4 linked regions of the Medicago truncatula genome follow. The protein of the gene in region 1 interacts with the protein of each later gene in a pairwise test. Links are inferred from orthologs where the notes say so. Each region holds a gene or a part of one and is shown on either strand. Other genes may lie near its edges. The genes, in order: dual specificity protein phosphatase 1, mitogen-activated protein kinase 3, transcription repressor OFP13 and replication factor C subunit 2.

Region 1 (7,326 bases):
TCTCACCTAGAAGAGTACAATTTCAGTTGCAGTTTGCATCTCACACATGCTTTCTTTTTTCTATATAGCTTTTGATTTTTGTATGGTAAGGGAAATTAATAATGGAGTGTAGGTGTTGAGAAGTTTTGACCAGAAGGGAAGGTTTTGATTCTTACATTATCGTTCAACTTTAACCTCTCCCTCTATTTATTTATTTGGTAGGAATTTTCATCTAACTAAGATTTTCCGCGTTCACGCATTTGGGATATTGTAAAGGATTGATTAACATTGGATTGTTTAAAAATATGTAGATTTTAATTTTTCTTTTATAGTTTAAAATGTGTGAATGTAAAAAATCTCAAATAGCAAGGAATCAAAATTCACTTGGGGTTGGACGAGATGCATACACACTTTAATGATCATCGTTATTCCAAACATTTAACTTCAGACATTACAATAGAAAGCAAGTGAAAATAAAGGCAGCATGCAATTGAATTTGAAGGACACAGTACATGAACATCTATTCAAGATGCCTCAGTTTCTTTTTCCTTTGTATATCCAGGCATTTTGTTTTTGGATGTTCTTGCTTTGTAAAAGATACTAGAATATTTTGGAGTCGGTGTGTTGAAATTGTAGGAAGTTTTTAGTATTTAACTTTGATTGATACGGTGGTAGTACCTTACCCTTCTTCTTGGTTTTACAACTTTTCTCTTTCGCAAAAGTATTCAGTTACCACTTCTCGCTTTCCTATTTAGCAATCCATGTAAAGTTAAGAAATACAAGTTGTTTAATCTAATTTGAATACAAAACATTGCAGTGCAAACTTCCAAATATTGCAGCAATTGAATACTCAGAGATACAAGTTAAGCTTGCTCATTCATGTTTTAATAATCTTGAGGAATAAAATATTTCAACACCTCAGCAGTTGCAAACTGAATTGATGAAAGCCTATACAGAAAACCCAATTTTGACATAAAGTGCAGACAAAAAAGACTTATCACCTATGATTTACTTCTACATTGGTTCAAAAGCTAATGTCTGTAAACATCTCCAAGCTTTGAAGATTCTGATTTTGTACTAACATAAACTGTACCTTGTATGACAATATTAGGGAACCATTTTTTTTTAGGTTAAATCTTTTTTTGATCCCTATAATTTATAAATATACTAAATTTTTATTTTAGTCACCTAAAATTTTTGTTCAAGATTTTAGTCCTTATAAAATTTCAATCATCACTTTTGGTCTTTATTTTTAAATCGGCTCATGTATTTTTTAATGAAATTGTGTAAAAAGGGTTAAATACGTTTTTAGTCCTTACATTTTGCGTCCCTTTGAAGAATAGTCCATACATTTCATTAAACCTTTTTAAAATCCTCACATTTTATCTCCGTTATCAAAATTAGTCATTGTTGTTAATTCTTTAACGGAATGCTGATGTGACAGTTAGTAGATCCCAATTAGTTTAAGATTAAATATGTTTTTGGTCCCTACATTTTGCGTGACTTTGAAGAATAGTCCTTACATTTTAATAAATGCTTTTAAAGTCATGCAAAATTTAAGGGCTAAAAACATATTTAACCCTTGTAAAAATCTCTCTTTTAACAAAACATGAGTTAAATATGAGTTTTTAACCGCAAAAAATATAAAAATTCATATTTAATTTATGTTTTGTTAAAAAATTCAAATTGTTTTTTGGAGAGATTCTATAATATTATAAATTTTTATGTAAAATTTTCTTCAAAAATATGAATTCTAGATATATGAGTTTACTTAAAATGAGAGACTAAAAGTGAAGATGCAAAATTTTGCGATGACTAAAAGTCGAAGAAATTTTTTAGAGGGATTAAAATGAGAAGTTGATATATTTATAGGGATTAAAAACATATTTAACCTTTTTTTTATTAGTGAAAAGAAGATAAAGAACACCCAACACCTAAAATCTTTACTTTTTTTTCTTTCTTTACATTTTTTTTTTAGGAAATTCTTTATACCACTTATATATCACAGTTCACACACTCATTATGATAAACCGACGCACTCATCAAAGTCATTTAGCGTGACAAGTTTTAAAATAAATGTGAAAAGCATAAAGAAGGAGCAAGAATGTTGAACACCATAGCTTTATATTTTTATATAGATATATATGATGATATGATTAAATTAAAGTTGTGATAATTTTCAAACACAAATCATTAGAGGAACCTTCACCCTCAAGATACACTACAAAGAGGTTTTCTTGTGACCAAACCAGATCTACAATTCAAATGATCCTCTCTTAAATATCATTCACAGACAAAAACAAAACAAAATAATCACATGTACAATATAGATGAGCAGGAGTAACATTCAACAGCAGAAAAACCACATAAAAATATAATTTTCTATTGATTAAAACACAAAGGTGTTGGGTTTAGGTATATTAATGCAGCTGATGAAGAAAAGAGTGAAAGAAGAGATAGCGAGAGGTGCAAAAATTTGTAGAGATCTACACTCATTAATTATTTTTTTAGCATCTGACGATATGGTAGTATTAAATTAGTCAATAGTTTATTAAATTACTCAATATAGCTGTTTTTTTTAAACATCAGTATAGTTGTTTATTCAAGTATCTTCACCCTTCTAGGATAGTGAAGAAGAAAAAAATTGGTGACGATTAAGGTTTGGAAAAGAGAGAAGCAAGGTCAAAGGTAATGGGGTGGCCAAGGGAGGTCGTCCCCCCCCCCCCCCCCCAATTTTTTTCTTAAAAATTTTATACTACTAATTTTATGCTATTTCACTAGTATTGTGAACGTGGTCCCCCGTCATTAGCTCTTTTGTTGGAGTCCTCGATTATTTGAACATTGAGCATTTGTCATTTATGAAAAAAAAGAACCCTTTAAGTATGTCAATTATAAAAGCGACAATAGAATAAAATAAGATATTTTTTCTTCTCACTTCCATTTTTTCTCCCTGCCATTTGAAAATACCAAAATACTCGTAGCGGTACATTGGAGAGGTGAACGATAGTTAAGTGTCACTCGACCCACAACAATTGCGAAAATAGAAAATTGGGGAATTGAGAAGAGTAACTTTCATAAACTAAATCAAATAAGTAAATATAATTTTTCTCTCTTCTCCTAATATTAACTTTAAATGTAGATTTATTAAAAAAAAAACATAAAATGTAGATTAAAATTCTTATATATGTAGTGCATTTGAGATTTTTTGTTTTGTTTAACTAAATATCTTTTAGTGCTCGTTTGGTTACCCGTTTTGTGGGTACAAACGTGAGTCTGAAGCACTCAAAAGCAGTTTTTCTATTTTTGTGGTGTTTGGGTAACTGCAAAAGTGATTCAACCCCCAAACTCACGTTTACCAGAAGCTAAAAGTTGGAGCTTTTCAAAAGCAATTTAGGAATTCAACTTTTGGTGGCTGATGTACTTTCCTAAATTACCCATGATATTCTTTTTCATTTTTCGACAAAGTTTTATAAAACACAGCAAAAGTGATGAATTTTTTGTTGCTCAAATTCTTTCTCGACCCTGTTTCTGCCTTCATGTTACCCAGCAAACTTCAACATTCTCTCTCTTTCTTTGAGAAAAGATGGAATTGGGTTTGTATTTATTTATTTTATTTTAATTTTCACAAAATGAAATTGGGTTTCATAGGCCTATTAGTTAATTTCTCCTCTTATGCAAGCCCATTACATTTTTTACAGATTCTTTTTTAAGAAAAAACCATTTGACAAAATTTGTTATTTTTTGTACAAAGAGAAAATTTGTTAATTAATATGTGTAAAAATATTTATATAGTATACCTAATTCAAATTAAAGTATCAAATTAACATGCATTTTATTTTAGAAGTTTTTCTAATCTACAAATAATTAAATTGATAATGCAACATAAATTTGAATAATTATATAAAATAGAAACAAAATATAATTTTAAATAGATATTTATACTCATTTTGGTAATTATGCATTCAAATAACAAGAATTCTAAGAATCAATTCACATTCAAGTCACTTTTTTTCAAAAATCAATTTTATCAAACTCAATTCTATCAAAATCAATTATTTCCACCGCTGAACCAAACGCACACTTAAACATGTCCCCCCTTAACCGTTGTTAAATTTCTAGCTCGACCTGTGGAGGAAGAGATGACCAATTATTTTTCACTCAATTACTTTTATATATGTACATATCTTTTTCTTATTCAAGTTAATTTTGTATTTCATAAAAGACAAATTATTCAAATGAAGCTCGTTTCGATTTATGTGTGGAACAATTTTGGCTAGATTAAAAAATGAAACGCAAGAATTAAAATTAAAAATAGAAATTTCAAAAGGATAAAAAATTCTATATAAAAAAAAGAGACTAAAATTGGCATTTTAATGGGCTAAATAAATGTTCTCTACTTCTCATATGCAAGCAAGGAGAAAAAAAAAAAAAAAGTGGAGTTTCTCTATGCAAAATCGTAAACGCTTTATTGGTGAGTTCTTCTCCTTTTCGTACTATCAGTTCAAGTGTTTATATTCGCCAGAATTTGATTATATTCATCACAATCGATTATTTATATATCTTTAACAGTTAACACTGATACGATTATTGAATTTGTATGAATTAGGAAATGGCTTCAACATCAGAAGCTATGAATGAATTCGACGAATCGATGAAGAAACAAATTGCATTAATTTTGAAGGTTGTGCTTTTGAATAAATCCTTGAAAGAGGATAATATTCCTTGTGAAATTGACCAGGTAGTTTACTTAATCAAGCTTCATTTTGTTATTATCTTCACTATTCTTCTGAATTTTGTAACTAATGATGAATGATATTTGGTTAGGGTTTGTTTTTGGGTTCAGTTGGTTCTGCTACGAACAAGGTTGGTTTAAAAAATGTGAATGTTACTCACATTTTGACTGTGGCTGGGAAACTTGCACCTGCACATCCTGCCGATTTCGTCTATAAAGTTATAGATGGTATGTTTCTTTTATTATTACTTATTGCACTCACACGGTCACCATACATGACACTGACACATTGACACTAGTAAAAATTTGAGAAAATGAATTAACTGAACGTAATCACATATCCAATGTGGTGTCGGTGACACGCCTTTAATCAGGGATGTCGGTGTTACATAGATGATCTGGAACTGATTTTGACAATGATGCGGTTTTATTCTTTTTGATTTTGGTCTTTCGGAGCTGTTGGTTTTGTGGCTATCAAAGTAATGCAAGTGAATTCACTATATAATGGACTAAACAAATGGATAGGGTGTGTTTGGAAATACATATCTTCATCAATAATGTTACAATATTAGTCAAAATATAAGGTTGAGGTTACCTATTTTTATTAGTAAGATGATTTGGATGTTAACTTTTGTTACCTTATTGAGGTTCTCAGTTTCCATGTTTATGGATTATTTGAGTTGTATTGCATTTAATGTAAGGTTTATTTAAAGAAATAATGTTAAAATAGGGCAAAAGGAAGGAAGTGGTGGTAGGGTGGGTTTTACAGAACACCGATTAGGACAGGGTCGGGTACCTAATTTTTATTTTGGTGACAATGGAGTGGGTTTTGGGAGGCGGGTTCAGGTGGAGAGCAAAACCTTGACTCCATGACCATTGCGTGCTTTGATCTATAAAAGTTTAGCATTTTCTTTGCAATTATGAAAAAGCGTGCTTTGATCTTTGAAAGTTTAGCATGTGTTGAGATTGTTCCATTACTCGACATTTTCAATAGGAGAGAAATTGATGTAATATTTTTTTTAGTTATTCATCTCTCTCTCTCTCTCTCCCTCCTACTAGATGTGTCGAGTACTAGAGAGAGGATCTCAATCTGTTTAGCATGCAGTTGCTGTCAAAAAATTTCCTTCTATCTTAGAAATTGTATTTTGTTATAATAGATGTTATCATCTCAGAATGTCAGTTCCTTTTTAACCGACTCGTGTAATATTGCGATCAATTAAATGAGACTGCACAACATTTCAGGTCCATGTTGCTTGTCATTAAGGTTGATTATGATTATATTGATTACACTCTAATTTTGTCTTAAGTTTTTTAGGCATCTAGTACACAATATCCATACTAAAGTTACACTTTTGTTGGAAAATTGAGAAGTTGCTGACAAAGAGGATACCAACTTAAAACAACACTTCGAAGAGTGTTTTGATTTTATTGATGAAGCTAAAAGTAATGGTGGAAGTGTTTTGGTTCATTGTTATGCTGGAAGATCGAGGAGGTAAGTTTCGCTGTTTATATCTTTCTCTCTTGCTTACATAGGATCATTTCTTGTTCATTGTACAGACTATTATTTTACTTTAGACAAGTGTCAATAAGTTGAAATCTGTTTTATGTCTCAATCATCTCAGGCATTTTTGTTTTGTTTTGGTTTAAATTTCTGGAATGTTGTTTCTCAAGCAAAAACTGGGAGCAGCACATTGCATATTTGAATTTCAATGTTTCTTAAAATCCTTACATTTTTATTTTGTTATCATTGTCTTTTATTATTCAATAGCAGATATTATGTTTTGCTTATAAAGTTGGGAAAATGTCATGGAAGCTTATAGCTTTTTAATTATGTCTTTAGTTCAATGATACTATCTCTTGAAATCCATTGTAATAATGTTCTGAGTATGGCCATATATATGTGATGCCATGTGGAATTTGAGGATATGATTGTTGAGCTAAATGTCAAATTGTTTCATATATGGAAAATGACAAACCTTGTTGATGCTTTGAAAATTACAGATATGATTTTTTTTTTGTTTTCCCTGTCATTATTGTTTTCTTTTCCAGAAATCTGCTTTCATGTCGATCTTTTCCGTTTGAACTTTGACATATTAAACATTTGAACTGACAATTGAAGTGTGCATGCTTCTCAATGAAATAGACTAAAAATGCTTTATAGTATGAATTGAGATGCCATCGATTTTTTTAATATGTAGAATGGAAAGTTAGGGATGTAAGCTTGAGATTCATGAATGATGATTATGTCCTTGTTTACTATTGGCCTGTCACTTATATTCTGCACAAAGTTCATGCAGCATTTTACTACCTCCTTTTTTAATGGTCATATTGGAACTAAGAATCTTGGTATTCATATTGTTCATTTGGCTATTTTCTTTTTCATTAGATTAACTGGAAAAACTTGGTTCTAATTTATTTCCACCTTCTAGTGTGACTATCATTGTGGCATATCTGATGAAGTCTCGGGGAATGAGCTTATCTGAAGCTCTGCAACATGTAAAATGCAAAAGACCACAAGCAACTCCAAATCGTGGTTTCATTCGTCAGCTGGAAGACTTTGAGAAATCTCTTCAAGGTTAAAACTGTATTAATCTTAAATATAATTAAACATCAAC
Region 2 (7,807 bases), about 26 Mb from region 1:
GTGGTTTATGTGTCCTTGCTAATTGAGGACTAGGTGTTAGCGAGTAGTAAGTGTTGCATTTTAGAGATATTGACTTTGAAATCAACCACATTAGACAACTAATTTAGGGTGACGAAATACTCTTAAATCTAGAGTTTTTTCACGTCCGAGTCAAAATCAATAAGTTTGTTTAGTCTTTATTTTAATTTATCTAGAATTTTTCGGCGAAAGAGACAATTGTTTATTTCTTTTTAAATAATCCAAATGCTGCCATAAAACCCATAACCAACGAACAAATGATCAATATTTTCAGCTTGACCTCACCCACTCGAGCAAAGATTAGAATTGTGGGGAATAATACCACGATAAATCAAGCTATCCTTTGTTGGAATGAGATTGAGAAGCATCCTTCACACTACTATATCCCACACATAATCATAATAATCAAGCAAACCATATTGCAAAATACTGGAAGAAAGTAAATGGTTGGCCACTTGGCAGAGTACCCTTTGCCTGGATCTAGGCTCCAATCTCACTTGTCACCCACACCATCCTTGAAAAAAAAAATGTTAGACAACAACATACTGCACACACTCATCTACTCCTCCTCCCAAGTCAAAAGCCTACGCCACCATTTCCACCCATCTTCCCCGTCCCCCATCTCTGCCAGTGAAACAAAATGATTCTTCAATAATGAATATAGCCACCTAAACCTATCACTCATCACCCCTCCATCCAATCACTAGACTGACCAAAAGAAAGTCTTGGTCCCGTGACCCACAACCCACACCAAATTCTCGTCAAACCAACTCCCCACACCCAAACCTACACCTCTACGTATGGTCATGATATCGTGCCATCAATGTGAACCCATACGACCACCCTTTTTCACCCTCACCATCCTCTACCCCATACTTCGCTACCAACACCTTAAACCTTATACTCGATTGTTCCGCCTGCATTCTCCAACACCACTTTTATAACCATGGTAAATTAATTTGACTAATCCCCCTAACCCCAACCCTCCTTTCTCTTTATCCGAACAAATATTATCCCAGTTGATCCATGGTGATTTCCTAGACACCCCCCCACCAAAAAAAAAAAAAAAAAATCAAAATATAGATTTAATAGAGGAAATTATATATACATATGATGAAGTCTTCAAGAAGGAAAGAAAATAGATTAGGAGTGATGACAAGACATATTTAAGAAGAAACAAACGATTATCCAATAGCAAATTAGTTTAGTTAATGCAATTTAAATGGGTGATTGATTCAGTTCATTATGTGGTTAATGAGTTATTATATAGTTTAGTTTAGTTTTTTTTATAACCACAAATAAGTCCATGATTACCGACATTCAAATATTTGGTTCATTCAATTTATTACTGTTTAATGAATTACAATTATCAACTAAACATATTTAAAATGCTTTAAGCATGATCCAAGAACACTTAGATGAGAAGACAATATCTCTATGTTGGTATGAACAATGCATAATGTATGCAAGGTTTACTTTCTATCTGCATTTCATAAGGCTCGAGGGAGCGCACGGAAAATACTTTTTTTTTTTGAGAGGACGCACGGAAAATACATGTTTTATGCAAAAAAAAAAAAAGTCTTAATCATGAAATGAAAAAATGAACCACGTTGTGTTTTAAAAAAAAAAAAAAATCAATTTTCAAATAAATAAATATAATTGAACTACATCAAGATATTTGTTAATCACATAATGAACTGAATTAACTATGTTATTAAACCGTGTAACCATATAATAAATAAACAAACAATGTTAAGTGTCAAAAATCACCGTTAAAAAGTGATACCATTAACCAAGTACTATACATAATTAATCATTTATTTGTGCCAAAAATAGTTCAACTAACATTTCTGTTTTGAAATATTCAAGGTTCATCTAGTTTGAAAAAAAAAAAAAAAAAAAAAGAGTCAAAAATATTGTTTGAGAAAGTCAATAATGTTTAATAGTTTTCGAGGTAGTTATAGTATCAAGTCATCGATAGAAATAGAATGAGAAAAGAAACCCCCATTACCACTTACCATTGTCATGATATATTTATTATTATTATTCATTCTATTATCTGTAGAGAAGGGGCGCCCCGTGCTTCGTAGGTGAAGTTATTCTATTGCTGTTATTATTTGACTTTGTTATTCCATGTGGCTTGTGCATTTGTTCCTCACGTGCACATTATTGAAATGGAAAACACCAGATATTTTGTTTGCAAATATGAGACTAGGTCGTGTCTGAAATTTAATTTCTGTACCAAATGTTGACTCCTGAATAATAGGAATACATACACCTGCTATGAAGTTTACTCAATTATGAGACATGTTTAGGTCATTTTTAAGTTAATGTTCTATAAATTGAATCAAAACTAGCCGTCTAATTGGTTGAATTGTGGATCGATATTATTTATGATTAAGTTATTTGAGCGGTTTAATTGTGCTTTCTTATGTTTGAGCAAGTTAATAAAGTAGCTAAACTATGATATAGATATCTTGTCGATTGAGCGTCTGATTTGATTTTGGTTCTTAGGAGAAGGAGATTATGATAATTTAAAGCAAGTAAAATCTAATTAAAAGTTGTCCGAACCAAGATTTAATGTTTTCTCAAATGATTTGTCATATTCTAAATTGATTAATCACTTTGAGTTCAATCCATAGGAAATCCAATGGTTATGTAGTAACCCTAATCTTAATTATAAAGAATGACTCCCACAAAAAAAAACTTCATTTTTTGTAGTCAAGCTTCACCATAATTTTAAAATAATGAGTATGGTGTCAAATTGTGGTTACTATGCAAGTAAAGCTTGCAAAAGTTTTAAATTTTATATAGAAATATCATGCATAAAACAATTGAAAGATGACAAGATTTGAAATGTTTAACTATTCAATGAAACTTATCAAGGATATGTATATGAAGGAGAGAACTATTCATGAAGCATAAAATACAAACAAATAACTCGTTGAATTTGAAATGATCAGAAATGTGAATGACTTTGACGAAAGATTCTTGGACAAAAATTTGAGTGCACATTGATAAAAAAGAAATTTAAATGACTAAACAAAGGGTATAAAGACAATAGCTTGAAACGGAAGACGAGGAACGAGAAAGAAAGCAACAAATAATAAAACAAGAACAACAACATGAATGATTGAAAAGAAATTTCAATAAAGCGTAGAATTACAAGAATCCACACATCAGATTTGTGTCATGTTAACAAGAAAATATTAACGACTGTTGTTTAACCATATAAAGTAATAATTTTTATATTGAAAATTATGTAATTATGACTTTTACATGTGTTTGACTTGTATTTTTAAGATAAAATTATTTCTCGTTGTGGGTTCGTTAAATATTACTCTTAGCACACTTGTTAGCAAGACAAAAAAAATTACATATCAAGAAACACGTTCATACACATTTATTATAAAAAAATATTTTGGTTTTAGTTTTGGTTTTGGATTGAGAAAAGATAGGTGGACACCCCGTCCATCCAACCTACAAAGTATTATTACTTAACAAGTTTTTTTATATAGGTATTAGTACAACTTTATGCTACAAATTTGGCAGAGAATCAAGCCAGTAAATAAGTAGAGGATCAATAGGGTAATACATATTCTCACGCATATTGTTGGTTTTTGGAGCAATGTAGTGATAGAGAAGGATTATAGTCGAGAATATAAGAATGAAATCATTTTGTAATATGAGAACATTTTTATTTTTCCTTGCTTAGATTATCAAGAAAACCTAATCCACGGTGCCTTCAAACATTATGACGATCAAGTAAGTTAAAGGGCATGAGTGTGAGGTTTTAGGTTTTAGAAAATGTGTATTTGAATCTAGATTGACAACTTGGATGACAGTTGAGGGATGGTGTACCTGTAAACATTACGACAATCAAGTAAGTCAAATGTCATGAATGTAATGTTTTAGTGTTTAAAAAATGTGTACTTAAACATGTTTCATAAGTCAGGTTTTATAGGAAAAAGATAAAGGATTTTTTTTGGATAAAAACCCTAATTGAACAACTTTAGACATATCATTGTGTGATATTCATCATATTGTCCTACAAGGATTCCGAAATCTGGTTTTTGCGTATCTTTAAGCCTGTCCAAAACATAGTCTAAGATGAGTTAACATTGTTAGAGTGACCAATTACTACAAAGCAATATTCCTAACCATTTGCATAAAACGTTCCAAATGTTAATGTCATTTGTAAAAACATTAATTTAAACTAAACTCCAATTAAATATACATGTGTGTTTATTCCACATGAAAAACAACTCCTTATCTTAATCCTATATAATACATAAAAAACAGCTGTCAGATACAAATTGCCTATATATGTGCCAGAAAACAGTTGATCAATTATTTGAGTCATTAATCATTCTTAACTAAAATTGTAGTGATACTAATATATACGTATATGATCTCTTTTTAATGACGGAAAGAGGGGCCTAATTAGTCCATTTTAGGAGAGATTTTAATTTTATATCAAGGTGTAGGTATCAGTCAATTTTTGTATATAATATTTAAATCCCTCTGACTTATTTTATTTCTAATGATATTATATTTTAGTCATTCATTAAGATAGTAGTTGAAATAATTGAACAAGCTAAGACCGTAGATTAGAGGCGGCTACAATCACAACCGTCCGATCAAAAATACAAACGCGTCGTTCTTGTAACGCGCGTGTGTTAATCTCCTTCGCGCGTTTTCGCACCTTCTTCGTAGCATCTTCTCCGAAAATAGATTCTATAAAATTCAACGTGCTTCACAAGCCGAGTCAATAACTCACTATAAACATTATTTAAATTGAAATTCACCGCCTTCTTCTTCAACACACTACCATCGCCGACGCTTTCTAGAGAGAGAAAAAAATTCTTGAGAGTGAAGAAAATCAAATCAAATCAAATCAATGGCCGGAGTTAACCAAAACGGCGTCGCTGAGTTTCCGGCGGTTCAGACTCACGGCGGACAGTTCGTTCAGTACAACGTGTTCGGTAATCTTTTCGAGGTTACGGCTAAGTATCGTCCTCCGATCATGCCTATTGGTCGTGGTGCTTACGGAATCGTTTGGTATTGCTTCGTATAATCTACTTCTTTTTTGAATCGGTTTTGTTTATGATGGATTTGATTTAACGGTTTTGGAAAGTGAGAAATGAATCTGATTTGTTTTTGTTGATGTGATTTTTGAAGTTCGTTGTTGAATACGGAGACGAATGAGTTGGTTGCTGTGAAGAAGATAGCGAATGCTTTTGATAATCATATGGATGCGAAGCGTACGCTCCGTGAGATTAAGCTTCTTAGGCATTTAGATCATGAAAATGTGAGTAGTTATCTTTAAATTCTTAATTACTAAACTTTATTTGATTAATTAGATAGTTTCATTGAATTGACTTATTCCGGTTTATTCACTGCATAAACATTTTGAGAGTGTTCAGAAGAACTTATCAAAACGGCTTATGACATGTTTATAAACTATCTTTAGCTTATTTATTTTTGTAAGCTATTAACTTCTAAAAATACCAAAAAGCAGTGTAACTTTATTTTATATTTAATTATAAATAGCTAAAATAATCATTTATACATATGATAAACACTTATGTTATAAGCTGCAAATTAAGTTGTTAATCTATATGCTTTGTATGGTATAAATTTTCTAATCTGTGTGAAAAAGGACAATTAATAGTCAATTAAGGTAAAACTATTTGAAATTCTATATGGCTTTTTTTAGCATTGCTGCTACTTTCTGCGAAAGGTTCTTAAGTACCTATCACTATCATTGTTGTTGATAATATCGCGTTGACATTTCAAGTCATACATGAAGGATTGAGGAATACAAGTATTGTACGTAATGATCATGGAAAATTTGGTTCCTATTTTAGGAGTCGTACATTAAATGATTTTTTTTTTTGAAGTAAAAGTGTCGTACATTAAATGTTGAAAAATATGTGTGGTGAGTAGCTACACGTTTGTTGAGATTTAATGGAAACAAGCCATCTCTCTTGACAATGGTGGACCATGATGATTGAGAAAAAACCAAGTCAATAATGGAAAAAGATAATGCCCAAAAGAATAATTATGAAGAGTGTGACACCAATTATTTGTGTAAGGCTGAATTAAGTTCAATATCTAATAATAACTTATTGCTTTTGAAAAATATATGACACAAATTTAGTTAACAGGACTAATAAATCTTAGATAGGCTCTGATATCATCTTAAATTTTGGGTTGGTCCTAACTCAACTCTTACAAAACCGGCCTTTAAAATGGGTATTGCCTTCATTTATAATCACATTTTTTGGTCTTTTCTCACTCAATGCGGGACTCTTAACGGTTATATTTTTTTCCTTTCGAATAATACATAATTGGTTCATGCCTAATTGATTACTTTCATACATTTTAAAGTTTACACTGTAGTTTAAGTCTTAAAGTATCAAATGTGCAAATCTCAATTTGATAAATGTATATTTAGTAATGGTTAAAATGTTTGTTTTTTAAAACAGGTAATTGGTTTAAGAGATGTTATTCCACCACCCTTGCGTAGAGAGTTTAATGATGTTTACATAACCACCGAACTCATGGATACTGATCTTCACCAAATCATTCGCTCTAATCAAAACCTGTCAGATGAACACTGCCAGGTCAGTGTTTTGAATTTGTTGTTTTTAGTATCAAAATCATTGCCTTAACTTTTTTGCGCTGGAATTAATTGAACTACTCGTTTTGCTGATGATTGTATGCCTTGTACTTGCAGTACTTTTTGTATCAGATTCTTCGTGGGCTAAGGTATATACATTCTGCAAACATAATCCATAGAGATTTGAAACCAAGCAACCTGCTGTTAAATGCAAATTGCGACTTGAAGATTATTGATTTTGGTCTTGCGCGACCAACTATGGAAAGTGACTTCATGACAGAATATGTTGTCACGAGATGGTATAGGGCTCCTGAATTGTTGTTGAACTCCTCAGATTACACCTCTGCAATAGATGTCTGGTCTGTTGGTTGCATTTTTATGGAGCTTATGAATAAAAAGCCTCTGTTTCCTGGCAAAGATCATGTGCATCAAATGCGCTTATTGACAGAGGTAAGACTATAGGAATCAGCATAACTAATCATTTTCTTAAAAAATTTGCATTATCTTAAACGACACTTATAATGTGGCGGATGGAGTAAAACATTACACTAAATGTTTTCTCTAGTTGCTACTTACTCATATAAGTTGATATTCATATAAATATTTCATTATTAATGCCTTGAATACAATCAATAGTTTAATCATAAAAGTAGTAATATATCATATATGCTTAATTGCTTACACTTGTTGTTTTTCTACAGCTTCTTGGCACTCCAACTGACGCTGATGTGGGGTTAGTAAAAAATGACGATGCGAGAAGATATATCCGACAACTTCCTCAGTATCCTCGTCAACCTTTGAATAGGGTTTTCCCCCATGTTCATCCCTTAGCCATTGATCTTGTCGATAAAATGTTGACAATTGATCCTACCAGAAGAATTACAGGTAATTTTCTCATCCTTGCATTCATTTATGTCTCTATAGCTAGATAAAGCAGTAATGGGTTCATTTTGAATATAATGTTGAATTACATTGAATAAATTTTCATATCTGCTTGTTTAAATATTGGCAGTTGAAGAAGCACTGGCTCATCCATACCTTGAAAAACTGCATGACGTAGCTGATGAACCTATCTGCATGGAGCCATTCTCATTTGAGTTTGAGCAACAACATTTGGATGAAGAACAAATAAAGGAGATGATCTACAGGGAAGCATTAGCACTC
Region 3 (5,735 bases), on another chromosome or scaffold:
AATATAAAAAAAACCTTATACTCGTTAGGAAGTTAATTAAACAATTCTGAAACAGAGAGGTTGGGGAATAACCATAGTTGAAAATTGAAATTGGCATGTGCATCCATGCATGGAGCATGACCAATAGCCAATAAGTGTAGTTGGAGACATAACAGTTCACTTCCAACTATATTTTTCTCTTAGAACCCAAGATTCGGAAGACATAATGATACAAAGATTCCACACAAGGATATCACTTCTACGGTTCTACTACTAATTTAAAAAGAGATTTCAAACACATTGGAGAAATTAAATTATTCATATTCATCTCATTTCTACTATACTATTCATATTCATTATTGGAATCATGATAAAAATAAACTTATTCGATTTTGCATTGAATAAAATTAATCGTCATCTAGTTTGGAGCTGGCACTACTCACTAGTATAGGAAACATCCAAATATCCAATACCGTAGGCAAATTCCAATCACAAAAAAAACTATATGCTTAAATATATTTAAATTCTTAGGATAGGATAATCATTGTTTTTTTTTTTTTTTTTACTTGAGGGGAGGATAATTATTGTTTTTAGATCCTCGTATAATTTTCGTCAAATTCTGGCTATCTGTTTTTTGTAGGGGTAATTTTGGCATCTATTATGAAAATGATAATATTTAATTGGTTGGACTTTGTATTCTTTCTGTTAGTTTTTTATTTGAGAGAATCAATTGTGATTATTTTGAAAAAGGGATCTGATTAAAACCATTTTTTCGCCCAAAAATTATTTATTAAAAAATTATATATTTTAATATAAAATACATAAGTTTCAAGACAAACTTATCCCTTTGAACTTCGTAACCTGTGTAAATTTATACATAATAGAAAAACATTTTCATCAATAATTTTCTCATATGATTATTTTATTTGAGAGATTCGGGATTCAAATTTCGTCAAAATAATTATTTATCAGATTTTATTTATCTTTCTGCTGAACTAACAAAATATATGTAAGACTTAAAAAAAAAAAAAAAACAATATTTTTCTCATAAGAATGGGACAACAAAACAGTGCAAGTGGGAAATTAAATATCCATATAGATTCACGAGGATCTATAGTAAAACCAGACTTGTGAAAACAAGGGCCTAAAATTAAATGACAGTTATTCAATATAAAATTCACGTGGAGTTTTCTCCTTAAGTAGAAGGCATCCATTGGATGTAATCACTACCAAAGTACTTATTGATTCATCAACATTAGTGTAATATAGTTATCATTCCTTTTATGTATCATGAGGTTACAATTATTCTTTGTCATGTTTACTATTAAAAGCTTAATGGCTTTAATTTGATAAGAAATAATGTTGGGGACCTCTACTCAAACCTCATTTTCAAGTTTGCTAAGTGTTACTTTTATCTACAACTAAGCCATTATTTTAGGACCCATGATCACATGGATCAGTGTACAAGCATTTGTTTAGTCACAGAAAAAACAGGTGCATTATTATTTCTAAGTTTTCTCTATAGGATAAGGTGTGAAGCTTTGGATAAGAGATCCCAACTCCCTAGCTAATAGTAACTAATAAGCTTGATATGGAGTCAACTTTAATGGTTTATAGATACCATCGGATTGATCAAAAGGTGGTTGCTACAATGCCAGCAAATTATAATTAAACAATTTGTCTTCAAGGATATTCAATATACAAAACAAAATTGATCTTCGAATATAAAATGTTACGGTGACAATAATTTAATTCTAAGTGTTCATAATTTTACTTATTTAAAATCAATTTTAATTCTCTCTCTCTCTAAACTTCTTAAAAATAATAATTAATTCTCTAAAAATAGAATCAAACATACATTGACAATTTAGTGTTTAGAATTGGATTCTTGTGACCTTAACTCAATTGGTAAGGATAATGTATAATATATACAAGGGTCGGAGTTCGAACCTCGGTCACCACAAAAAAAAAAAAAAAAAGATGCATGGGCGGTGGAATTTATCTCTTCAAATCTAACGGTTCCTACAAAATAAATCTGCTTAATTGTAAAGTAGTTCTAAATATTCTGAACACAATTGTCAAACAATTTATTTGCATATTTTTAATAGTAAATATTAGTATGTTTTCTTCATCTAATTTGGACTTGAATCCCGACCTCCAATTTATTAACCTGTACCTCAAACCACAACCCAAATTTGTGTGCATTTTGCACATAAAATTAGAACTACTAAACCTTTTTATTTTATTTTTAGGAAACCAATTTTTGTCATTTGTAGCAAATCATCGAAACTAACTACCTCAAGCAACTCAAGAAATTGAAATTCATCAACTTAATTTAAAGTCAACTCGATTCATTCCAACAAAAGTAAGCACAAGGGCCTTATCGAGAGGATTGGTCAACTTTGGGAAATGGATATATTGATGATCATAAATTGAGAAACAATGCATACGTATAATTTATTTATTACTAGTAATTTATAAAGCACTATGCTGCAACAAAGTGGGGGAATTTCTATTTTATTAGTGGCCAACAAACATTCATGTACATCGATCACAGAATGTAATGCATTATGCATGTACATAAAAGAATGGATATGCAACTGTGTATTACTACTTACTAATTCTTTTTAGCCATTCACAAACAAGTCAACTAGCACGATCAAGTACTAACTCTATACAACATTTTCAATTGTAATCTTGATTTTCTTACCCCATTTTCTCCTCTCTATTTTGCTACATCAAATCTATTATTTTTTCTTCTTATATCACTTTCTTTCCTTTATTGTATATCTCATATTGCGTGAGACGGTTTTTACATTATCACAACTAATCATACACGTGATTTTTAGAAGTAATTAATATTAAAGTTAAATGTGATTAATGATTTAACGGGTTAATTAACCGTAAAAAAAAAATCTTTACATATAAATTATTGGGTGAAAAGCAGAAATATCATATGGTATCTCTCCCTCTATCCAAATGACGGGTTATTTATTGAATGTGACAGGGATATATAGTATATGAGGTAAAAACAATAAAAAGAAGTTCCTAATAAATACAGAGCCTAGTTTTTTTAGATCTCAAAACCATCCTTTTCTAATAAATAGATACAGTATGCGTGATGCAACCGTTCCCTCTTTAAAAACATCACAAGAATTCACCTTCTTTTCTTCGGTTCATATAAGCTACTACTAGCAAAATTTTCTTAGTCTCTCTATTCCAACCACAAATATTTCACTTATAATATGCCATAAATGTCTTTTTCACCTAATTTCACTAATTTTATACCTTACTGACTTCACTTTGTTTTCTAAATTTTTGCCTCTCTCAACCCTACTAAAAGGTTATGGGAAAATTTCCTACTTTTGCCATAAATGTGTAATGGTTTTATTTTAATGCCAATGAAGGACACATTTGTTTCCTGGTCTACTGTTAGTAATTTCTTTTATGTTCTTTAAAAAAGAAAAAGAAATATGCCCTCACGAGGTCAAACACATATGACAATAATAAATGCATTTTACCGGTTATGTTTTGTTTTCTTCATGCTAACCTAGTTGATTCAAATTGATCTAGTAGGTAATCAAGTATTGCACTCAAATCGTTAATAAGCTCTCTCAAAAATGAATTGAATTCATTATTTACCATTCAACCGAACTCTAGATTACCAAAATCTCTTTTCTTTATGAATCATAGGGTTAATACTAAAAAAGTGATCTAATTGATAAGGTTTCAGTTGAGAACTCACAAACCACAAAAACTTAGATCCAGATCTATTTACTGATCTAAGGTCGTCGTGAACGAATAATATGTAAGTATCTACGTCAACACTATATGAACCCTGAGGTTCGGAGCCAAATTGACATACCTTTTTCTTTTTATAAAAAGATACTCGATATTTTTTTTACAATCATATTATACATATGAAATATTTAACACCATTTATCGTTATTCAATCTTCGTCGTTAAATATATTTGACTGATGGATTATCCTTTTTAACCAATTTTTCTCCATACACAAATATGAAAAGATCAAATCCCGACCACTTGTTTGAGATTACTTAAATCTCTTACCTTGATGGTAATTATATATTTTTTAAAAATAAATTAAAAATATCTAACATTTTTTTTAGGAAGATATGAGACTGACACTTCTGAAAAGAGTGCTGTTACATTCAGTTGTTGATGCGTGCATTGAATAACATTGAATTTTACTAACCTACAAATTAAATTCACACATGAAAGCACCTACCAGACCCCATTTCCTTGTCATATTCTTTTGCTTCATATCACAATCCTGTGCTTTAAATAACTCATTTCTCATCAAATTTATTACAAACACGAATACTCTCCTAACACAACAACAACTCATAGAACCCACCCTCTCTTCACAAACAATATGGGAAAGAAAAATTTGAAACTACCTTCTCTTTTCAAAACCAAAGAAATTTCACAAAGAAAACAACATCCATGGCAATTCTTACCCTCTTGTGGCCATCCAAAAACTCTTTCTTTTCGAGTTGGTGCTGCTTCTACTTCTGCTGCTGATGATCACATATTCAAAACGGTTAATTCTGTGTTTTTTGACCAAACAGACAACATTAATATAGAAACACCAAAATCATGGTTCACAACATCATCTGAATCTGCAAGTTTCTCAACAGAATCAGAAGATTACTATTGCTACAACGACGGCGAATCATTGGAGACATTGGTACGAGGAGTTAAGTCGGAGAGATTGTTTTTCGAAGCAGAAGACACGAGTTCGATCTTAGAAAAGGCGAAGGCTAATGGTTTTCCATTCAAAGAAAGTGTTGTGTTAGCTATGGAGTCAGAGGATCCATATGAAGATTTTAAGAGATCAATGGAAGAGATTGTTGAGTCTCATGGTGTGAAAGATTGGGATGGTTTGGAAGAGCTTTTGAGTTGGTATTTGAAAGTTAATGGTAAAAATAATCATGGGTTTATTGTTGGTGCTTTTGTTGATTTGTTGATTAGTTTAGCAGCTTCTAATAATTCTAATAACTCTTGTTCTAATTTAACTTTATATTCTTCTGCTGTTTCTTCTTTTGCCTCTTCTTCACCTTTGTATCTATGTGAGGGACAGAGTGAGATTACTGAGATTGAAGATAATAATAATAATAATAATGTAACAGCTTCTTAGTATTAATTAGATGTAGCTAGTTTTAACCTTTTTTGTTGTTGTACATTTTGTAGATTGAAAGAAAATTTAATGAAAATTAAGTTATAGTGATTTTGTTTTGTGGTTTGTTGTTAATTAAGTTATGATGCAGGACAACTTGAATCATAACTTAACAAGATGAGTTTTAGTCTACTTTAATCATGTTTAGGGAGAAAATAATAACAAAGATATCTAAGTGACCGAAGAATTTAAAAACTATTTATTTAAAATGGTTCTAAATTCAACACTAAAACGATATAAATGAATTAAATACATCTCCGTAAGTTTGACTCAGTTGATAAAAATATTTCATATTATATGTTGAAGTAGGGGTTGGAATCTTGGACACTCCATTTCTTCACATTTAAAATCTGCATTTGATGAAAAACTATCTACAAGATTGTTCTTGAAGGTTGCACTCTCATCTTGTCTTTGGCTTCCACCGATTCCTTATAATCTTTACGACAGCCTTGATGTACTTTTTGGAAGGAAATGAAGCGGTACACCAAACATGCATATTCCCAAACCTCACTGGTCTAAATTATATTTTATTTTGACAAAATTAAAAATATGCATG
Region 4 (7,457 bases), on another chromosome or scaffold:
ATTCGATACATAGATGCAATGCTCAAAAGCTTGGTCATTATTATTGTTCAAGAATAAATTAATCAGTACAAACTTCGTGAAGGTAAGTCAAATAAAAAATATATAAACAATCCCTTTATTATCACTAAGACTGCCTTGATTTGATTCTATAGTGGCAATATTTTTTCAACTATAGTGCATAAGAGAGTTCACTTATGCAAACAAATTAGTTATTAATGCAAGGTAAAAGCCAAATCTACATGGAATCAATTGGATATTTCTTTTATAATATTTTCGAAAGGAAGGAGCAGGTTGCAAATAAGTGCCCGTATTACAAATCTATTCTACCAAGTGTAACAGAAAAAGATGATTATTAAGGCAGAAACAGTAAGAGTCCCATATCGGCTGCGTGTGAACCAAGTCCCATTTTAAGCATAGGCAACCCTCTTATTAACCCAATATGAACTCTCCAATTCACCATCTTTCAATTGAACTTATTTTCAAGAAAGCAGAAAGCTCAAAATTTGAAAGCTTGCATTCCTGCAATTGAACTCTCCCATTTATAACATATGTGAACTCTCCACTGCATCAACTTTCCATTGGCTTTAATTATTGAACCAGGATACGAAAACAAAAAAAGAATGAGAGCATACTGGCTACAATTAAACAATTGTCAACACCGGAAAAATATTTTTTAGTAGTTTTGCAATAGAGTAGTGATATATGTACAACTCTTTGGTACAACTTTCATGACAACTTTGGTTTTCTCTCTTTTGATTGGTCAAAAATAATAGAGAGAGAGAGAGAGAGAGAAAAAGGAAGAGAGGGAATAAGAAGATAATGTGAGTCTGAGAGAGAAAGTTGTCAAAAAGTTGTTAGAAAATAGTTGTACAAATATCATTTCTCTTTGCAATAAATAATAGTTTTTCTATTTCCTAATATGTAGCATTATCAACAAAATTCCTAGTTGCCTAGTTGGTAGTTAGTTTGGCAGAGTCGAGCAGAATAAGCATAGCCATTTAAGACATGCAGACGTACATTATTCAAAGTGAAATGGCTCATTTATACAAACAAAAAAAAAAATAGAATAGAAGGAAAATAAACACCGTGTAATAATATCATTAAAATAGAAGTAACACACTTTTTTAATAGGAAGTAACATAAGTTACATGTCTGAAGATATACTTTGTTGATAAGGAAATGTGCTCACCTGCAAGTATGTTATAGCCCGACGGAGATCTCCTTGAGAAATATTACTTAAAGTTGAAAGACCCTGCAGATGCAAAGATACTATAACATAAGCCGCTATGATGTCAACAATACCTCTACAGACAGGATCAAAACCATTAAAAAATTGCACAGTGGCCATATAAGCTCTAAGGCTCCTACCTCAGCATCAAGGTAGATTCCTTCTTCTTTGCAGATGTATACTATTCGGCTGCTCATGATTTCTTCTGTCAGTGGCTTGAACCTGAATTTTGCACACCTTGAAGCAAGTGGTTCTATAATCCTACAAAAAACAACAATCTTGTATAAAACACGTGTGTCCCCTATCGTCAAAAGCACAGACAAGAACAGTAGGAAAAAAAACTATACAATGTATTGCTTTAGCTTTATAATTTTCCTTTGTATTGATCATGATATTTCATATTTGTGCATACATTTTAATTTTCTTGCTGATATGAGAAAAACAAAGTATGTAATAATCAAACTAGAATAAAAACTGTCCTCGTGAGCATAGCTCAATTGGCAGGGACATGCATTGTTATATGCCGGGGCTGGGGTTTGAACCCCGGACACCCCACTTATTCACCTTTAAAAAGGTGAATTCTAGCCACTAGGCTACTTGAAGAAAGAAAAAAAACTAGAATAAAAACTTAATTTATTTAAACAATGATAAAGATGTATATCAATTAAAATTTGATCTTAAACATATCAAAGCATTGGGCCAAAACCATGTACATCAAGGTGATTATGGTTTCATAGAAAATGCCATTGAGTCCTTAAAGATGTGAAATTGAAAATGCCAAAGGAAATAAAAAATCAGTAAATGGTTTCATAGAAAACTATGTACCTGCTAATGTAGTTGCATATAAAAAAGAACCTAGTAACTTTAGAATAAGTTTCCATCGTTCGCCTCAGTGCATTCTGTAACCAAATTGCAGGTGGTATGAAATCATTTCACTTTATTAATTGAACAAGCAAAGGTTGGAATGAAAAACAGTGAAAACATACCTGAGCATCTTCTGTCATTGAATCAGCCTCGTCGAGAACAATGATCTTATACGGTGGACACGGATAACCACTGAAATATCAGAAACCCAAAACATAAGTTACAAAAATCCTATAATAAAATGGAGAAAAAACAAAAGCTCAAAAATATATTGTATTCCACTTTCACATACTTCTTAGGCTTATTGGTACCCACAGCGACAGCAGCGAAATCTTTGATCTTAGTCCGAACAACATTAATACCACGATCATCACTAGCATTAAGTTCCAAAACCCTAGATTTATAGAGTTCAGGTCCGAAAAGCTGATGAGCGATAGCGAGGGCAGTAGTGGTTTTTCCAGTGCCGGGAGGACCATAGAAGAGCATGTGTGGGCACTGTGAGAGAAAATTGAAGCGAATAGGTTAAGAAGAAAAGAGGGTTTAGGGTTTAGAAATGGTGAATTAAATTACTTACGCTTCCAGTTTCGAGAGTGTTGGTGAGTACTCGAACCACTTCTTCTTGGTGAGCTACGTCTTTCACTTGCTTTGGACGGCTGAAACATATTGGGGAGAAATTAGATTAGATATGCGAAGAACATAAATTAGAGAAACAGAAAATTGGAATTGAAATTGAAATGAAGATGTAAAGTGGTTACTATTTCTCGACCCATGGTTGAGTGCTCTGAATGATTGGCGCCATATTAGTAATTTTCTCTTCACACACGATTCTCTGCTACTATACTAGTACTAGTTGCAGCCGGTGGTGGGGGGTATTTGTGTTGTGTGATACAGATTCTCTGCGGTCAAAGAAATCCTGAATTTACACAGTCAGGCAAATGTGAGCCGTGTGATTCATCTAATGGTTCAAATACAACATGTTACAATATTCCTCTCTTTGATAAATTCACAAAACATTTTATACCTTATCTCTCTTAAACAAACGAAAAGCGCATCATGTTCCTCTTGAACAAGAACAAAGATACAATTTTATGGAAACAAGTTTGAAATAGATCTGATACAATTTAAGGCACAAACATTCTTATAGACTACGACAGTTACTTTAACTCGTCGGAAATTGGATTGATAAGCTTTAAATGGCAAACTTATCCCACTGAAACCTTGGTCTTGAATTTGGAACCCCAAATCCCATTGAGTACAATTTTCTTTCAATCGAAACACAACGCACAATTTAATTTCACAAAGAATATTCAGAGTTGAAAGCGGTGGGGTGGTCTTGGTGAAGCAGCGCCGGCGGAAGGGATGTGGTGGACGGTTCGTTTCTTCCGAGAGAAGATGTTTTGTTGTCTTGGTAATACACGTGGCGAAATGATATACGGTTGATTAATCTAACGGTTTATTATTTTCTGACTGCAGCTGCGACTGCGTGAAAGAGTCAACTGCAGTAAATCCTAATCCGTATTTGTATAGGGCACCACCATTTTCCCGCTCTCTTTGCCCTGCAACGCAGCGTTTCATACCACTGGAGACGAGTTTGTTTATTTTTTTTTATGTTAATAATAAGGAAAACTAGATAGATAACCCGTGCACCGCACATGTCTGTTTAGCTTAAACATATCTTCAAATAATAAAATAATATTTCAAATTTTAAAGATCAAATGTGTTCACAAAATGAGCACTACAACATAATAATAAAAGTCTGAATTTCATCTACCAAAAAAAAAAAAAAAGTCTGAATTTCATAAATAACTAATGGTCAATTAAGCAATATAAGATAAATAAAAATAGAACAACAAATATAGCTAAAGTTTGGTAACGACATATAGTAAACCTTTTTAAATTACAAATTACAAAAAACTTTTTCGAGTAAATAGTCAATTTCCCCCCTGAAATTGTAAGTTTCATCAATTACTCCTTGAAATTAACAAAACTTCAATTACCCCCTGAAATTTCACAATTTTAGTTAATTTACCCCCTCCGTCAAATTTTTCTGTTAGTGAACATGACGTTTTGTAAATACCCCCCTGAAGTTTTGCACTTATGTGCAAAATGCCCCCCAAACTTAAAAATTTATATTATTTTTTTCTTAAAAACAAACAATTAATAGTTAAATATTAAAGCTAACTATTAATTTTGGAGTTTGGAAAAACTACATACATATATACATCAAAATAGGGAAAAATGTGTATTTTTAAAGTGACAATAATGGTTATTTCTAATAGACAAATTATTATTTTTAGAGGTTTATAAACAAATTAATAATCAGATTTAAATTTATATTTTCTCCTTCACCATCTTAGTCTTTTAACTCCTTCAACAATTTGCTCAAACCATTTAAACTACACAACCCCCAATATTAATCCACAAATCATTCCATTATTGTCACTTTAAAAAATACATATTTTTCCCCATTTTGGAGTCTATTTTGATGTATATATGCATGTAGTTTTCCCAAATTTCAAAATTAATAGTTAGTTTTAATATTTAACTATTAATTGTTTGTTTTTAAGAAAAAAATAATATAAATTTTTCAGGGGGTAATTGATGAAACTTACAATTTCAGGGGGGAAATTGACTATTCTTTTTCATAAACAACGTTAGATGTCATGTTAGTTTGTTCACCATCTTCGTCCGTGATCGAAATCTTCGGTCTAGAAGTAACTTTTGAAACAGCGTAGAGTTGTCCATAAAAAGGCACCAGTGTCGGCAGATATACACTATATTATAGACAATAAATTTTAACAATTTTAAACACAATATTTCCAACATTTCCTAAATTTTAAATTATGTTATGAATTAGCACTTTGAAAGTATAATGGCTTCGTGAATTTGAAACATGGTGACTAACCTTTCCATCCCTACTATATTACTCCCTTCGTCCAAATTGTATGATGTTTTTGCCATTTCACACATATTAAGAAATGTAATTAATATTGTGTGAAAAAGAGATATTATGAGTTGTTTTACAAAATTATCCTTAATAAATGATATGGAAAAGATAAATGAAAGAATTGAATAAAGAAAAAGTAATAGGAAAAGTAACATTAATGTTTCATTGGTATTCTAAAGTGACATACAATTTGAGACAAATATTTTTTCTAAAGTGACATACAATTTGGAACAGAGGGAGTAATTATTATGAGATTTATATACTCCTGTTAATATTAATTTTTTTTATTAAACATAGAACACACTTAATGTTGAATTCATTGCTTCTGGTCATAATCACAAACAATAGAATCAAGGTTTCTGATGCAGTTTGTTTCCAATGCAAAGAGCAATGATCTAACATCAAAAACTTTGAAAACATCACATGATAAATTGTATCCAGATAAAGTGTAGTTTTTTATTCTTTATATATTTAAGCATATACATCTTCAAGTTAAATCAACAACACACTAAAATTTCGTGCAACTAACCCCTTTGATTGTTTATGCACTTGCATATTATTTGAATGAGGAAAAAATTAATTAAGGTGCAGTATCACCGGTGACGTTGGTAAGGGGCAATTATATTTTGGCTTAACCTCCAATTTTACAATAGATTGGCATAAAAAAAAAATTGGCATAGAAATAAATTGCAATTATATTAATTAAGCAACATGACCTCAAACTGAATAGTCGTCAGAATTCAAAATTACAAAATAGAAATTGCAAGGAAAAGAAAAAAACACAAAAATTTAAAAAACTACAGAACTCCATCAAATGAAAACTTAAGACCAAACCCAAAAAAAGCTTACTCCCCGATAACAAAAAAATATCCACTAACGAACCAAATTATACCTTCATTATTGCAACCAAACCCTAACTCCAACTGACAGCGATGTAAAGGGTATCGTTCTTCCCAGTTGTAGGTGCACCAAGTCTGATCTTCACACCATCACAGAGATTACGCGCGTCCACAAAGCGTTTCCATTCACCATCGATCCTATTGTGCTCATACGGAGCTGAACCAAGGATTAATATGCACTCCCACATGTTTCCACAGTCATCAACCAGCTTAAGTGATGTAGAGGCCTTGTCCAAAGTGTGCTCAACAAATCCTTCATACAACAGCATCTACAACAAAATTCAAATTTTAGCAAATACTACATGACATGGATTAAAACAATCTTGGCAAAAACACGTATGAATGGGTAAATCAACATTACCAGGTAGCCTTTGGTCACGTCGCACTCTGTCAGAGCATTAGGAAAATCAAAACGAAAATTGTTGTTGTCATGTCGATAGGATAAGTTAGCAGTAAAGGGAGGTAGAGTGTTATCAAAAGTAGGTTGCACAAAAGCCTTGTCAATCACGAACTTCATTGGAGGATCAAAAGGTGGAACCTTTATCTCCTTTCCAAACCTGTATTTCACAATAATATCAAATTGTCCTAATCCCACAAACACGAGCGTCATCCATGCACCCAACTGAATCCCATAAAAATCATGTAGTTCCTTCCATCCTTTTGAAAGAAAAAAAAGGTATCTATTAAGGTTTTTTTCTAAATTATCTTTGAAAAATAATGGTAATTTACCCACCAAGCAATCATAATGAGTAATTTATTGGTGGAGTCAAGATAGTTTATGGATACCACCTAAAAAGGTGAATGTTTATTGGTTGGGGTAAATTATCCACCATTTTTCCATGGGTACCCTGGTTGTCACCATCCATTAATCCTCTAGACCAAAAGTTCAAAGTGATTGTTTCTTGGATCTATCAAGGTTGCAAACCGGGTTATCTGATCTCCAAAATCAGCACCAAACATGTTTGGCAAAACCAAAATGGAAATAAGATCAGAAAAAAAAACTATATAATACTGAAAACCGTTTTTACTGTCAAAAAAAGAATACACACATTTTCCACGTCTTACTCCACACCATACGACCTTTACTTCATTCTAAGCTTGTTAACAACTCTGTCGAGATCGGAAACAAGGTTTGGAACCAGTGGACCTAACAAATTAACAACGTAAACCGTTAGTTACACAAATAACTGCTTAATATGAAACACAATAAAGCTAAAACAATCATATCGACCTCTTGCAAGTCGTAATAGGGGAAATTGGCTATGACAGCAATCAAGTTAGAGGAGCAAATAGAGAAGAAACGTTTCTTACGATGAAACCAACAACCAGGATGATATGAGCAGCAGGATGATATACATGTATATATAGGAAACAAAATGGATGGGAAATCCGGTGTACACGTATGGGAAAGCCAACATATATGGTGAGTGGAGAGTTTTTAGTTTTCAAGGCCGCATCGCAAAGGATGAAAATTAATGCAGTCTATTGTATCAGTATAGCACGTTGAAAAATGGAGGAA

What was found.
Region 2: the proteins of dual specificity protein phosphatase 1 (region 1) and mitogen-activated protein kinase 3 interact in binary tests that used the Arabidopsis thaliana proteins (3 or more experiments, as listed by UniProt). The link is inferred for Medicago truncatula from reciprocal best matches to the Arabidopsis thaliana genes DSPTP1 and MPK3.
Region 3: the proteins of dual specificity protein phosphatase 1 (region 1) and transcription repressor OFP13 interact in binary tests that used the Arabidopsis thaliana proteins (3 or more experiments, as listed by UniProt). The link is inferred for Medicago truncatula from reciprocal best matches to the Arabidopsis thaliana genes DSPTP1 and OFP13.
Region 4: the proteins of dual specificity protein phosphatase 1 (region 1) and replication factor C subunit 2 interact in binary tests that used the Arabidopsis thaliana proteins (3 or more experiments, as listed by UniProt). The link is inferred for Medicago truncatula from reciprocal best matches to the Arabidopsis thaliana genes DSPTP1 and EMB1968.

What each region holds. Positions count from the first base shown.
Region 1 is NC_053045.1:56,691,331-56,698,656, forward strand, and holds the start of dual specificity protein phosphatase 1, read left to right. Parts: upstream 1-4,323; 5' UTR 4,324-4,450; intron 4,451-4,585; 5' UTR 4,586-4,588; coding exon 4,589-4,717; intron 4,718-4,803; coding exon 4,804-4,939; intron 4,940-6,082; coding exon 6,083-6,203; intron 6,204-7,140; coding exon 7,141-7,286; intron 7,287-7,326. UniProt on the Arabidopsis thaliana protein: Has a dual specificity toward Ser/Thr and Tyr-containing proteins. Dephosphorylates MPK4 in vitro.
Region 2 is NC_053045.1:30,780,326-30,788,132, reverse strand, and holds the start of mitogen-activated protein kinase 3, read left to right. Parts: upstream 1-4,791; 5' UTR 4,792-4,918; coding exon 4,919-5,079; intron 5,080-5,199; coding exon 5,200-5,329; intron 5,330-6,509; coding exon 6,510-6,647; intron 6,648-6,760; coding exon 6,761-7,093; intron 7,094-7,344; coding exon 7,345-7,528; intron 7,529-7,655; coding exon 7,656-7,807. UniProt on the Arabidopsis thaliana protein: Involved in oxidative stress-mediated signaling cascade (such as ozone). Involved in the innate immune MAP kinase signaling cascade (MEKK1, MKK4/MKK5 and MPK3/MPK6) downstream of bacterial flagellin receptor FLS2.
Region 3 is NC_053042.1:54,140,948-54,146,682, reverse strand, and holds transcription repressor OFP13, read left to right. Parts: upstream 1-4,209; 5' UTR 4,210-4,375; coding exon 4,376-5,140; 3' UTR 5,141-5,226; downstream 5,227-5,735. UniProt on the Arabidopsis thaliana protein: Transcriptional repressor that regulates multiple aspects of plant growth and development through the regulation of BEL1-LIKE (BLH) and KNOX TALE (KNAT) homeodomain transcription factors.
Region 4 is NC_053044.1:43,607,565-43,615,021, forward strand, and holds the start of replication factor C subunit 2, read right to left. Parts: upstream 3,008-7,457; 5' UTR 2,892-3,007; coding exon 2,848-2,891; intron 2,746-2,847; coding exon 2,667-2,745; intron 2,588-2,666; coding exon 2,385-2,587; intron 2,285-2,384; coding exon 2,215-2,284; intron 2,128-2,214; coding exon 2,054-2,127; intron 1,490-2,053; coding exon 1,369-1,489; intron 1,253-1,368; coding exon 1,190-1,252; intron 1-1,189. Other genes in the region: uncharacterized protein, read right to left, coding at 5,953-6,207, 6,300-6,548. UniProt on the Arabidopsis thaliana protein: May be involved in DNA replication and thus regulate cell proliferation.